2 linked regions of the Rhinolophus ferrumequinum genome follow. The protein of the gene in region 1 purifies or fractionates together with the protein of each later gene. This does not show direct contact. Links are inferred from orthologs where the notes say so. Each region holds a gene or a part of one and is shown on either strand. Other genes may lie near its edges.

Region 1 (7,223 bases):
CTACTTAAAAAATGGGATTTGTAAACTATCCACAGAATGCTATTATGGACAAACAATAGTCCTAAAATATAGAAAGGGGGATGCAATCCTGTCTCTGGCCTGCCTTGTAAAAACACCCTCACCCCAGCTGAGGCCCCCTACCCTGTTCTTACAGACAGGTATCAAATGGAGACTACAGACTTATCACAAATTGTCAACAGAACTTTATTTCTTCTTTTCAACATCCTGTTCTGCAGCTTCCTTGGCCCTTTTTGCCCGGATGCCAAAGAGCCGGGCATTGGCACGGGCCATGCGAAGGCTGGCAAATGCCTTGAAGTTCTTCTCCTCTTCTGTGATGACCCTGGCTTTCTCCTTCTTGTAGACCTAGAAAGAGTACAAGGAGTCAAACCCTGGCCTGCAGTGAGGCCTGTAACGAGGCCCAGGACCCAAACATCAGCAAACCCAGAGAGGTACTGGAAAGAGATCAAGTAGTGCTGAGGAAGTGAGTGGCCAGCAGCCGGCGAGAGCTGCCATGAGCTGCCGACCGACGACTGCCTCAGCCGGGGGGAGCGCAAGGCTCATAATACCAGCATGGGCCAGGGAGCTGCATCCTACACTAGACTGAGAAACAACGGCTTGAACCGGAGGGGAAGGGGGGAAGTGGAAGAAGAGGGGGAAAAAGAGTAATGCTGAAAGGCTACACAAAGGCCACCGAGGAATAGATCCCCTTTCCCAGAGGAACCTCAAGGGCCCAATCACTTGATGGGCAGGTTACAGAATCATCAAACATGCCCTGAGATTACCTGTGGCCTGGGATTTCCAACTAGCAAGAAGGAAAAAAGGACCCAACAAAGAGAGGAGTGACAAGTGGGGTTCCCCAAAAAAGAGCATACGGCCTTCCCTTGAGGAGTCCATTTGTTTAGAAGACAGGGTGCTCTTGCCACCCTTTACTCCCTCCAAGTCAATCTCCACCTCAACACACGTTCCCTTGTACATCCTCCCAACACCTCCACTTACGTTCCGTATGGGCATCACCGGGCCTGACAGCTGGGTGGCCAATTTGAGTTCTTCAGCCTGTTCACGAGAAGGGCGAGTCAAATGGGTGCAGCTCATTTACGTAAGGGCCCCAAGCTTATAACCCTCTAAGGCAGCCCCACCTCACATTGGGTGACCGTGTGCTTGGAAGGGCTAGGTGTCTGCAACTGCAAGCACACATTATGTGGGTCTATGTGCCAAGTAATGGCATGGCACCAGATTCCTATTCTATCTAGCTGACAGTCACAGGCAGCTGCAAAAGTGCACGTATACCTGAACAGATGCAGATAAAGCAAAACGTCAACTGAAGTGTAAACCCACTCCCCACCCAACTCCAGAGAAGCCTGTATGGATGGATGGACACTATCAACTTTGTTCCAAAAGTTCTTCTAGAAATATCTGTGTCATACGTAAAGCGTTTTAGAGAGCAAATCACTTTCAATGTAAAAAAACTAGGTCCAAGTCAAACAACTTTTACCATTCCTACAAAACAGAAACATCACATTTGAGGAGCACGTGAGTGAATATTGGCGGTTCTGATTCATTTATAAATTTTTAGGAGCTTTCCGCTCATTATCAATTCTCTACTGCCCATATGAAGGCCAAGTTTTGGGGGATAAAAAGGTTACAGGCAAATGCTTTCCTTCTCACCCCAGCTGGACCCAGCTACAGAAACTACCCCTGAACCAAGGAAAGCCACATGCTGGGGTTGGGCAGCCTCTCAGAGACCCCCACGCCCCTGACCACCCCTCTGCCCCACCAGGAGCTGGGAGCACTGTACTCACAGAGCTGTCTCCCTTCTTGGGGGCTGATGGCTTCCTGGGGAAGAGGATGAGCTTGGATCGGTACTCCTTCAGGCGCTGCACGTTGGCCTGCAGGGACTCAGTAGACTTGTTTCGCCGTCTAGGATCCACTGAGATCCCAATGGTCCGGGCCACCTTCTTATGGATGCCAGCCACCTGCCCCCAGAGACAGACACAAATGAAGCCCCAAGAAGCCTCTAATTTCCATACCTTAATAAAATCGCTCAGTCGTCAGATGGAAAAGGGTTCAAACGTACTTTCATCAAGGCAGTACAGCGATTCCGGAGAATGTCATCATTTGACTGTGAGCCCAAGAGACAAAACGTATGCTTCTGATAACGAGGTTTTGCGAGTACTCACCCGTAACTCCTCCAAGCTGAAGCCCCTGCCGGCTCGCACTTTGGTGTGGTACCTCACAGTAGGGCATCTCACGATGGGCCGGATGGGTCCCGACGCAGGGCGCGGAGCGATACGGCGCGCTTTGGCTTGCCGGGCCTTGCGTCTGAGCAGACAGAAACCAGGCAGCAGTTACCGTACCCCAAAGCTTGTCTCCCCCCTCGGGTGTGACGTCTACGGCCTAATGCCAAAGCAGGGACAGAGAGCGCAGACGGCCCCGCCCGCCAGCGACCCCAAGCCCAGCGTCCCCACCCACTTGCCCCCAATCATAAGGTCACGTCGGCTCTCCAGTGGAGCTGAAAGTGCTGCAGTTATGACATGGCAAAGGGTCCATGCGCACTTGCAACACAGGGAACACCGATTCCGAACACTGTCACTACCTGGCCGTGTACTCCAGGAGCCCCGCTCACCTGCGGATCTTCCGCGCTGGCTGGTTAAACCACGTGGCCACACGCCGCTGCCAGTCTTTGTGGAAATGGGGCTTCAGGATCATGCCATTTCGGCTGGGCGCCATGGCTGCTGCCTACCGGCCTGCAGAGGAAAGCAAGTCAGGGCTCGGGTTCCGGGCGGATGCCGCGTGCAGCCCGCCTTGGGCGCGGCCACAGAGCTCGGCCATAGGCCAGTGCTGTCTGCGCCATGGATCCGACGCCGATGGAGGCGGATGGAGCCCGATGGCATTCGAAGGCCTCCGCCGGCGCCGGACTAGAGCGTACCCACCTTCTCCCAGGGAGAACAGCCACCGGAAAAGAAATGGCGCCGCAAAGCACCCCGGGATGGCAGTGAGCCTGGCCAATCAGAAGTGCCGGGACGTTCTGACCAATCAGAGCCTGGAATCACGGAAGTGACGTATTCGCGTTCCCAGCCGACCTCGCGGCCCCTGGATAGAGATTGCGTAGCCTGCAGCTCCCAACAAAGTCAACGAGGGATGCTTCAGGCTGTAGGAGAGCGGTGGCGGATGGTTTCGGCAATGCCGGCCTTTTTCAGCTTCCGCACGCCCTGGGACTCGGTACGTTTTCCCAAAACCTAAAGCGTCGTCCTCTGTGCCCCAGTCTTTGTTCCTTCCCGTTTGGAACATTTGTGCTTCTTTAGGCCACACTTAGGGGTTGCTGTAAGCGGGGCATCCTGTACTTCACATGTATTTTTCACATGGAATCGCACAACCGCCTCTGCTCGGCGGAAGGATCAGGTAACTTCTCTGAGGTCGGGAGTAAGGGGTGGCACTAAGAATTCACGTGGCGGACTGCAGATGTCCCACTTCCCGCTGTGCATACGGCCTCCACAGAGGCGAGCATCATAAAAACACTAACTAGTCAGGCACACATCCATAATTTGTGCCTCGCGCGTCTCCTATTCTCCAAGTCTGGGAACTCGCCAACACCGTACTCCTCCTACCTCTTAAGCCTTTACTTCCTGCTAACCCACTTTCTTTCTCAGCTTTACACCAATCATCGAGCTTCCTCCTAGCAAAACTTAATCAACAGTTTAAGAATTTCATGACACAAAATGAGAAATTTGAAGCTCTGTGCTCCGCACTGGGAAAATAAGTTGCTGATAAAGTTTTCTGCTCTAGTGAGATACCCTTGGGTGTTGGAAAAATCACTGAGGAATTAACAAAGTTTTGACCTGGGGAACAGGAGGCACAGTCTTTTCAGATGAATGCACTGAGCCTACATGGGAAGTTCAAACCCTCACCCTGCCATTTAATAGATACGTGCTCAATTAGGAAACTGAGGGCAATAGCAGCCCTGCTTTTCCCACACGTTCTCAGGCACCTTGCAGTGATCCCACCATGGCCAAGATACTTTGCTCTTTGTAATCTCAAACATTCCTGTCCCCATCCCCAACTTCCCTTTCTGGATGGACCCACAGACTCAACGTATCTCCATCAATCCTAACCCTCACCTCCACCTGAGCTCCAGCTGCTTGTGGTCAAGACGCTGTCCTGGGACGCTGGGTGGGGGGTTAGGTCTGCTCAGAATCCAGTTAGCGGTAAGGAGGGAAAGTTGTAATTTGAGGACCTGCTCTGCTGCACACAACCAAACCAGACATAGAACCCAATTTTTCATGCTTCAATACTTCATACCTTACTTCAATCAAAAATTATGCAGAACAGCGAGACAAAAAATTCTGATACGAAAATTCTGTTGAAAACGTTCAGATTTCCTGTTGGGAAAGATTAGTGGGAAAGCTTAAAGAAGTGAACTGTTATGAACTGTCATGCAGAGGTCCTGATACAAAGGCTTGGGTGGCTCAAGGGTTTTAAAAATCTTTAGCTATAGGGATAGTTCTGTCCCTTGGCACAGAAACTCCACAGCCACAACTCTGCTTAAGGGCTTTTGTCCTGGACTTAGGCCTGAAAGGGCTAGCTAATGCCCCTGGAAGTAGCACTCAATTAAGGGGACCAGGGATTCCTGGCTAAGTGTCCTTGGGGGTGTGGCAGTGTGCTCTGCACACCCCCCAGCATTTCCTTGCAAGACTGAACCCCAATTACTGCCTGCTCGCTCATTCTGCCTCTGCACCTCACCGGCTTCCTCCATCTAGTGCTTTGAGGGTCAGCCTCAAAGAAATCCGGCCTAAGACAGTCAACTATAGCTTCTCAATCCCTTTCAGACACAGTCTTGATTGTTTAAATTATAGTGAAGTGATTTTTGAGTGATTTTTTTTTTGCGGGGGCAAAAGTCACGTCCCTATAGCACTTTGCAAAAAATTAGCACGTTAATCTTTGTCATATAAATATAGGCCGATGGTTAAATTAGGAAAAGCAGTGGCCTAATAATAAGAATGGATAATGGATATTCTTCTGAGGTCGGTGGCGGAATTATTTTATACAGAAATCTTGTGCGATCCCTATGCAAACAAGGCGATGATTGTACGAAGAGTGATACTGAATTCCCGAGTTGGGAAAAATGGTAATCCAGTGGCAGAAAATTTCCGAGTAGAAGAAGTAAATTTACCAGATAATATCAATGAAGGACAATTACAAGTCAGAACTCTTTATCTTTCTGTGGATCCTTACATGCATTGTAGAATGAATGAAGACACTGGATCTGATTATATAACACGTTGGCAACTGTATCAAGTGGTTGTTGGTGGAGGTGTTGGGATTATAGAAGAAAGCAAACACACAAATTTTACTAAAGGTGATTTTGTGACTTCTTTTTATTGGCCCAGGCAAACCAAGGTTATCCTAGATGGAAATAACCTTCAAAAGGTAGACCCACAACTTGTGGATGGACACCTTTCATACTTTCTTGGGGCCGTAGGTATGCCTGGTTTGACTTCCTTGATTGGGATACAGGGAAAAGATCATGTAACTGCTGGATCTAATCAGACAATGGTTGCTAGTGGGGCTGCTGGTGCTTGTGGATCTTTAGCTGGGCAGATGAATCAGATCAGCCACATTGTCCTGTGTGGTCAAATTTCTCAGTACAACAAAGATGTGCCTTATCCTCTTCCATTAACCCCTGCTATAGAAGCAATCCGGAAAGAAAGGAACATCACAAGAGAAAGATTTCTGGTGTTGTATAAGGACAAATTTGAGTCTGGTATTCTACAGCTGAGTCAGTGGTTTAAAGAAGGAAAGCTAAAGATCAAAGAAACTATGATAAACGGATTGGAAAACATGGGAGCTGTATTCCAGTCCATGATGACAGGAGGTAACATTGGAAAGCAGACAGTTTGCATTTCAGAAGAAACCTCTTTGTAATCTCTATAAATGTCTTCATCAAGGAAATACAGTTTTCTTTCCATTTTGCACAAAGATTTTGAAGATACATTAAAAAAACCTTACAGTATAGCTTTTGATCATAGTATGATCATAGGTGATATTTTCTTAGTTGCATAATTCTTTCTTATACCTTCAATATCATATACGTACTCTACATCCAACATGACTGTTTACAATGATAGAGTGAAGTCAACATGATCTATTTTTCTTTCTTTTACTAAAACTAGTATTACATGTGATATTCTTATCAGATATTCCGAAACCACTGGAGATTTGATACAGCTGTTAATGGATCACACAAAACAAATTTTTTTAAATCAATAACTTTTATTTAAAATGGAATGCTTGAGAAGGCACTTAGTAAATATTTGTTTTACATAATTCTTGAATTGAAAGTTGGAGTAAGAATAGAATTGGGATAGCCTTTCCATATTGTAGATGGAAAAGGGACTTAATGGCAGGGCGTCTGTGTAGAGGTTTGGGGGAATTCAGTGTCTGGCACATTTTTTGGGATAGGAGAGTAGAGGCTTTGTGTGAGGAGTGGTATGAGAAGGAAAGTAACAGGTTGGTTAGGTGGATGGAGAGACTAGATTTACTACAGAAGATGATCTGTTTGTGTTCTGCCAGTTTCCTGTAGAGCCTAAAATCTCAAATACTTAGTGATAAAAGCACATGTTTATTTTAGGTTAGCAGGCACATACTGTCAAATGGTTGTAAAGATTTCAAGGGCAAATAAATATAAATATCACTTGGAGTTTTAGGTAATCAAAAAGATTTAGACAGCAAAGAGAGCTTCAGAAAATGCCAGGACTGACTGGGAAAATTAACAAATGGTTGTAAAAACATGAATGTGCAAGACCTACTAATGTAACTCTAAATAAGAGTGTTTTATTAAATGTAAATCATTTAAACATTAAAATTGAGGATATTTTTCTGGGGGAAAAAAAAAAGAATGGATAATGTTACACTGTTTCATCACAAAACTGATAACCATCCAGCCTCTCAACTTTCCAAAATCATGGCCTACACATAAATCAGATATAGGCTAACTCAAAGGTTCCTGTAGTATGAGAAATACATCAGTGAAAGACAATTGGAAGTACATTATCATAATCATAAATATTTTAAAGTTCCTAAGAGAGTAGATCTTAAAAGTTCCCATCACAACAAAAAACACTTTGTAACTCTGGTGATGATGTTAACTACACTTACTGTCCTAATCCTTTTGCAGTGTATACAAATATAGAATCATTACATTGTACACCTGAAACTAATATAATGTA
Region 2 (7,845 bases), on another chromosome or scaffold:
TACCCGACAGTAACGCCTAAAAAACAACAGACTGGAGGTCCTGTTGACAAGCTCAGCTAAGGCCGAGTTTCACTAGAAGCCTCTCCCACCAAAACGTCCTTCTCCAAGTGTCATGTGAGCCCTGCTACAGCTCACTGCTGCCCGAGCTCCACCTGGGCCTTGCAGCCCCACCTGGGCCCTGTGAGCCCCACCTGGGCCCTGTGAGCCCCACCTGGGCCTTGCAGCCGCACCTGGGCCCTGTGAGCCCCACCTGGGCCCTGTGAGCCCCACCTGGGCCCTGCAGCCCCACCTGGGCCCTGTGAGCCCCACCTGGGCCTTGCAGCTCTTGGCCCCACTGCTCCATAGACAGCTCACATACCAAAAGGAGCAGAGTGGACGTGGTGACTCTGAAAGTTCATTTCTGCCCCAACTCAATCTAAGGCTTTCGCTGAGTCATTTGTTCACTGATTTGTTCATTTGCCCAACACAAACTTGAGTGCCTACTGTGTGCCAGGTATGGACCCTGGGGGTGGGAGGGGAGCAATGAGCAAGCAGCTGAAGAAGACAGAGTCTGAGCTCTTCCCTCGGCACACAAAGTCCAGCGTGGGGGTCAGAGGTGACCACGGAACCCCCGTAGGTGAGGGTTAGGGTAGGAGTAGCTGACCACCTCGGGACACAGGGAAACTGTCTCTGAGCCAAGGATGGGTTGGTCAGGCAGGAAGCAGGAGAGTGTTCCAGTCAGAGGGCACATGAGGAGTCAAGGAGTATGAGACCCACGTGTCCTGAAAAACCCAGGATCCGTTGGGGGTGGGGCGGCTCCAGCTGGGCTGAGGTGAGTGTGAGCAGGTCTTGTGTCCCAGGCAAGGCTTCCCTGCCGGTATGCAGGCCACAAGGAGCCACGGGAGGATCTGAAGCAGGACAATGCACGAGAGGTTTAGGCTTAGAGCCAACTCTGGCAGCCAGGAAACTGCAGAGGACAAAGGGAGGGCCTGGCTGGGCTGCACTGGGACTGTGGCCACAGGACGCAAAGAAAGAGACCAGGCAGCACCCAGGTCTGACCGATGGCGGCTGGCTGGTGAAGGAAACTGAAGAAGAGGCTTTGGGTGACCTCGCAGCATCTTTGTGCTGACCTTTCACCCAGCAGATGGGCAAAAATGAAAACCCGAGATGGGTCAGTGAAGCAGAGGGTATGGGGCACAAGCCTAACACGGAATGTGAGCACGAGCTGGCACAGCTTTTAAGGCTGGAAACGCGGCATTATGTGTTAATGAAAACAAAATACTTACACACTTTCCCTAAGCAACTTCTAGAATGATATTCTTGTGAAACACTTGCACAATCCTGCAAACACACCCACACACACACACACACACAGAGGAATATCTGCTATAGCATTTTAGTAGTGCAAAAATTGTACGTTTTAAAAAGGAAACAAATATTCTCCATTAGCAGATTGGTTATGTAAATTATGCTCATAAAGCCATTGAGAAGAGTGAGGGGTCCAGAGTCAGTGATCTGCAGGTTCCAATCCTGACTCAGTGGGTCTGGGGAGGGCCTGAGACGCCACTTGCTAACAGGCATCCAGTGGCGCTGCTGCCAGGACCCAGATCACTGACGGGGAACAAGACCTAAGCTGTACCACCCAGAGCAAGATGGAAACTGCAAACAGTGTAGCCTATTTTGGTAACAAAATCACAGTAACGCAGGTTAATATCTGCATGATAAATCTGATAAATTTGTGGAAGGAAGAGCTTATGGAGGACTTCCCCTTTCTACATTACACACAGATAACTATAATATTTCCATTTTTATGGTGAGCAAATTATTTTTGTATCAGAAAAAAATAGGGACGGCCCAGTGGCTCAGGTGGTTGGAGTAGGGTGCGCCGAGGTCGCGGGATCAATTCCCACATGGGCCAGTGAGCTGCACCCTCTACAGCTAAGATTGTGAACAACAGCTCCAGGGCATAGGCCAGGGAGCTGAGTTCTACACAACTAGACTGAGAAATAATGCTTGAACCAGAGTCAGGGGGAGGCGGAAGAAGGGTGAAAAAGAAAAAAAAAATTAAAGAAAAAAACAATATTTTAAAATAATCAATCAATAAATTAATGCATTGAAACAAACAAACAAAAAAGCCTGTGAACCTGGGTTACGGACTGTGTCCGCCAAGTTCCTATGTTGAACCCTAGTCCCCACAGTGACAGCGTTAAGTGGTGGGGCCTTTGGGAGGTGATTGGGTCATGGGGGTGGAGCCCTCAGGATGGGATCCAAGCACGGTGGGAAAGGGACCCCTCCCTCTCCCTCTACCCTGTGAGGACACAGCCAGAAGGTGCCCCTTCAGACAGGGAATCTGGTGCCTTCATCTCAGCCGTCCAGCCTCCAGAACCATAGGAGAAAACATCTGCGGGTTAAGCCATGGTTTGTGGTATTGTTATAGCAGCCTGAACGCACTAAGACACTGAGTTAAAAGGTCACACTTTAAATTGTATGTCATATGACTCTTAATAGATCATTCGTGCTATTATTTTTAAAGAGCTGTCAGGCAAAGCCCCAACCAACAATTTTTCCTTGCTGGGGGACAAGTGTCTGATGCAAGAGCCTCTGTCTGCGCGTCGTTCCTGACCGCCTGGGTCAGCGCTGTAAGCAGCAGGACCATCTTTCCCAAATGCAGGTCAATGTAGGTCACTCCCCCCAACTCTTACCCGCTTCTCTCCTTACAGCACCGGCTTCCCACTGCTCCCCAAACAAACACAAAATGGAGCACCAGTGGCCACCCCTGTCACTCCTGGCCCCTGCCAGCCTCTCCAAGCCCGTGTCTTGCAGGCACAGGCACACACAGGAACACACACACACACACAGAGCACACGCCTGCACGCTGGCCCGGCGACGTGCACATTCCCTACACGCTCATCAGCCCCTGTGTCATCAACGTTCTTTTATGTTTGCTGCCAGATGGTAGTCTCCTATTGCCCCAGCCCAGCCCTTTCACCAGGATTGGAGAAACAGAACTTCCTCTCCATCAACTGGCCAATGCCTGGCGAGGCCTGGGGAGAGGTCCTGAGGAAGGGTCCTTGAGAGGATCCTGGGGAAGAGGCCGTAGCAGTTTGCAGGCTTGGAGGTACAGGGCTCCTCTAGGGGAGAAGCAGCCAGAATAACTGCCAAAAGCCTCCTTCACATTGGGATCTGAGGACGAAAAATATCCCCAAGATTTGCCCACATCAATCCCCCACAAAGTCTTAGAAGTTGTGACTTCAGAGACAAGAAAATCCCGCCCTGGGGAAGCCAGAGCGGACACAGCATCCAGGGGTCAGAATGTGAGCAAGCAGAGGACTGGCGGGAGCCAGGCAATCAGGAGGGTACTGGCATTTACTGAGCAGCTGCTATGTGCCAGAACCCTTCTAAGCACTCTGTAGGAGGAAATGAATTTTACCTGTTTGGTTCCTGTTAAATGGGATAGTAGCAAGGGGGACTGACTCCCTCTCCCCAATTACCCCCAGAGAAATTACTGAATGAGAGAGAGGCGAGGGCTCCAGGGTGTGACAACAGCAGTGAGAACCCTGGAGGGACCTGGGTTCTCAACCCTGGGGGCGAGGGTGCTGAGTGAGCAGCGGCACTGTAGCACTGGAGGTGGACACAGGCCAGGATGAGCTTTCTCCTCCGGCTCTTGCCTCTCCCTTCCACAGCCCTGCACGCTCATCCACAGCCCCTCCGGGTAGAAATCAGCCAGCCCCACCAGCCAGGGCACAGAGCGGAGGTACTCAGGAAGGCATGGGAGGGCTGGCCCGGGCACCCCTCCTCCTGCTTCTCACCCCCAGACAGCTGGGAGTCCCTTGGTCCCCTGCCCTAGGAGAAGTGGTCTAGGCAGGTGGGCGGTGCCTGAGCGCTCCACACTGGACCTTGAAGGGCCCATTCAGCTCTCACCTCAGCCTTTGAAATCAAGGTGCGGGCAGGATTGGCTCCTGGGGCTGCAAGAGAGAATCTGTCCAGGTGTCTCCCTAGCTCCTGGTGGCGACCCGCAACCCTCGGAGTTCCATGACTTGTAGAAGCATTGCTTCCATCTCTGTGTCGCTCCTCACGCGGCCTCCTCCCTGCAGAGTCCAAACTTCCCTCTTACCAGGAACGCCTGTCATTGCATTTAGGGCCCGCCCCCACCCAGGAAGGCTTTCTCTTAACTTGATTACATCGGCAAAGGCCCTATTCCCAAATAAGGTCACGTTCACAATTTCTGGTACACATGAATTTGGGGACACTAATCATCCCGGTGCAGTCCATCAACAGAGGAATAAAGAGGGGACCAGCATCCCAGGAGAGACCAGCAACCGGAAACAGAAGGTGAGTCATTACGCAGCACCAGAGACATCTGAGGCCTGAGGTTGAGTGCAAAACCAAGTCCCAGAACAGTAAGTTCAGCATGGAGACCCCGTAAAATACACGCAGGAAACAACATGACACACTTTCCTATGGGATATGTGCACACCCACGTAAATGTACATATCCCATAGGAAAGATTCACGCCCTGCCGACAAGTACGGTTACTTCTGTGGCAGGGCGTGAAGAGGCTTCTTTACCATAATCTGTAGGGTTTTTGTTTTTTTTTTTCAATTATTAAGTGAGAACGTGTTTGCGTACTCACATGAACTTCAAATAGGCGCACTTGCTGCTGTGCGGTTCCCTGCGCTGCCGCCCACCCGCCAGCAGGGGGCGCCGCTCCGCCCCGCCCCGTGTAGCACGGAAGTCCCGCCCCGGACGGAAGTCAGCGTCGGTGCGTCCCGGAAGATGGCGGCGTCCACGAGTGTTGGAGCGTCAGGCTGGGGCGGCAGCCGGCGGCGACCGGCCCGTAGTAAGCGCGGAAGCGGGCGCGGGCTGTCCCGCGGGCCTCGGGGCGGCGGGGCGGGGGTCCTGAAGCGGCTAAAGCTGGCCGTGGAGGAGTTTGTGCAGGCGACCTCCGAGGGAGAGAGCCCGGGTGGCCGCGAGGGACTCCGCGCGGAGGGGCGCCTGCGTCCCGGCGGGAGGAAAAGCCGCAGGGAGCTGAGGAAGGAGAAGCGACACCTGAGGAAGGCGCGCCGGCTGCAGAGGACCACGGGCTCCGCGCGGGGTCCGGGCCCGGGCGGCGGTGACGGAGCCAGGGGAGCGAGCGATCCCCGGGCGGACGGGGTTCAGGAGGAGGGCGTCCAGCCGTCCTCACGTCGGGCCCCGCGGCCGCCCGAGCGGCTGCCACCCGCCCAGGCCGAGGGGCTGCCACCTCCCCGGGCCGAGGCCGCCCCGGCCCACGCCCAGGCCAGGGGACCGCGCGGGAGGACCAGGCCCTCGGCAGCCGCGGCCGCCGCCGCTCGGAAACGGGCACTTCTGGCAGCCAACGAGGAGGAGGACCGAGAGATCCGGAAGCTGGAGCGGTGCCTCGGCTTGAACAAGCGCAAAAGGAAGGACGACGCCAGCTCCGTGCCGCCTAGCTTTGCCCGCGATGGACTCGACTACATTCTGGGAGTCCTGGGGTCAGGGGACAGCAGTGGCTTGTATGAAAGCAGCAGTGAGCAGGAGGAAGATGCCACCCAGACACTCCCCGAAAGCGATTTGGAGAGCGACACCGAGGACGGATGGGGAGAGGAGGAGGGCGGGGAAGAGAAGGACGAGCCGCAGGTAGACGCGGGAGCGCGGAGCGAGGAAGAGGAGGAGGAGGAGGAGGAGGTCCAGGAGGAAAAGCGAGAAACCCAAGAAGCAGAGGAGAGAGCGAGGGAGAAGAGGGAGGGAAAGAGAGTCCGTTTTGCAGAGGATGCAGAAAGAAGTAAAAATTCCTCGGAGGTTGTTGGCGCAGCGCCTCAGGTACGGTGTGAACACCTGGGTCCTCAGATTCCCCGTAGAAAAACGGGAGGGGGCGGGGCGTGGGGCAGAGGGGGCACAGTTGATGTATTGGTAATTGTGTGAGCTGAGTGCGGAAATCGGCTTATTCTGTCTACTTTTATGTTTCTAAGTTTCCGTAATGAGTTAAGGGAGGAAACTTCTCTAGAAAACTATGTGTCCCAGCGACTTAATGGCCACCCCACTGTTGATCATCTGGGGGACACTGAGCAGTGGGTTGGTTTTGATTTTATCATGTAAATTTGGATGTTACTTTTGAACAAGCTTGAAATTCTTTTAGAGTACTATCCCTCGAAAACCAGGGGTACATTTAATTTAGGGGTTTGTGTACATCCTTGCCTGCGGTAAACTAAGCCCAGACAGACCTGTGGAATACAGGGCTCTGCCGGCAGATCCTGGAGGGGCACAGCAGGTCTGAAGAAGTGCAGAGGGACACGTATTGACGCCAATGTAGGTGGGGACTCCCGCAGACTGCTGAGTGGAGTAAGCCCAGCACTGTCCTGGGCACTCGGTCAACATGTGACATCTATAGAGCAGACATGGTCAATAGTTACAGCTTCTGCCAGTTTGGGGGAAATTAACATGTAAAGGTGGTTATAGCGAAGGAAAAAGTGAGATTTGTTCAGTGTACATTTTTTGTAATTTATTTTTTGTCTTTTCAAGCAGAGTCTTTGTGAAAATGGTGACAGGTACATCCCACCCCATGTAAGGCGGGCTGAGGAGACAGTGGATGCCCAGAAAAGGGAAGAGCGGGAACGGCTGAAGAAGCACGTGCAGGGCCTAATTAACAGGTAACCTCACAGCGTCGTCATAGTGCGTCTCTTAAAGACGTCTGTTTCCTGGAAATACAGAAACTATCCCAGGAATTAAGCTGGAAGTGAAGGGGTGGGGCTGTTGTTGTGATTGGCGCCTTTCTGTTCCCTTCTTGACATCGCTGGACCTGGACAAGCAGGATGTCCACCTTTGCTCTTTGGTACTTTGAACCCTTGAGCTTGAGAGCAGCAACAGTGCCCACGTGGATGTCCTGACAAGTCCCAAAACAGGGGTAGCAGGCTACCCTCCTCCCTGCGGGGTCGAGTGGGGGCCCCACGGTGGGCTGCCATCCCCTTTGCTCATTCTCCATCTGCGTCACACCAGAGGCCCTGGGTCCCCACCCCACAGCCAAGACAGAACCGTCCCGGCACAGGACGGTTCTCTCAGGCTATGCTTATGGTCACGCAAACCGCCCTCCCACTGCTTTTTTAAAAATTTCTTTTTAGTTAAAACACTGTTCCCGTGGTACAGCCTGGATTCTACCGAACAGGCCATTCGGGTGCACAGTGTGAGCACAGGCACAGACGCGGTGTGTACGCGGTGTGTACGCTTTGTGCACAGATGCCCCCTCCCCCTAAGCAGGGCAGCCTTTTCTCAGCGTCAGGCACTGCAGGTTTTCTGCCAGCGGGAAAATGGAAACTAGAGGCTTTCCCAACAACGCATGCTGATGTGCAAGTATGATTCCCGGCCTCTGCCTGGGGACAAGGGTCAGCTCCCCGGGGGGCATCGTCAGCACAGTCTGTGGTCTTACAGGGAGTCCTGCGTGTCCTTCGCTGTGGGGCGCTTCAGCTGGAGAGACGACAGTCGCACATGAAGAGTCCAGAAGTGTGTGTGTTGTGTGCGGTGGAAGCTGGGTCATTAGGGCTGGGTCAAAGCCAATAAGAATTGTTCGCAGGGCAATGTGTACACAAAATAGGACGTGTTGGTGGTACTGATAGCTTTTTCACTTATTTCAGTTGACCTGAAAGTCATTCCTCTTTTGAAACGTCGTGTGGCTGTCTTTTCAATCGTCTGCAGGTTGAGTGAGCCCAACATGGCCTCCATAAGCGGACAGCTGGAGGAGCTGTACATGGCGCACAGTAGGAAGGACATGAACGACACTCTGACGGGTGTCCTCATGAGCGCCTGCGCCCCGGCCACGCCCGTGCCCAGTCGCCTGGTGATGGAGCACATGCTCTTGGTCAGCATTCTTCACCG

The links.
Region 2: the proteins of RPL13 (region 1) and NOM1 purify together in Homo sapiens (co-immunoprecipitation; 3 studies listed by BioGRID and IntAct, with this or other methods). This does not show direct contact. The link is inferred for Rhinolophus ferrumequinum from reciprocal best matches to the Homo sapiens genes RPL13 and NOM1.

Annotation. Positions count from the first base shown.
Region 1 is NC_046298.1:34,032,074-34,039,296, reverse strand, and holds RPL13 (60S ribosomal protein L13), read right to left. Parts: upstream 3,017-7,223; 5' UTR 2,931-3,016; intron 2,745-2,930; 5' UTR 2,728-2,744; coding exon 2,624-2,727; intron 2,320-2,623; coding exon 2,178-2,319; intron 2,115-2,177; exon of another isoform or gene 2,031-2,114; intron 1,974-2,030; coding exon 1,800-1,973; intron 1,054-1,799; coding exon 997-1,053; intron 364-996; coding exon 205-363; 3' UTR 181-204; downstream 1-180. Other genes in the region: prostaglandin reductase 2, read left to right, coding at 5,002-5,919. UniProt on the Homo sapiens protein: Component of the ribosome, a large ribonucleoprotein complex responsible for the synthesis of proteins in the cell.
Region 2 is NC_046309.1:961,618-969,462, reverse strand, and holds the start of NOM1 (nucleolar MIF4G domain-containing protein 1), read left to right. Parts: upstream 1-4,755; coding exon 4,756-5,799; intron 5,800-6,498; coding exon 6,499-6,626; intron 6,627-7,665; coding exon 7,666-7,845. UniProt on the Homo sapiens protein: Plays a role in targeting PPP1CA to the nucleolus.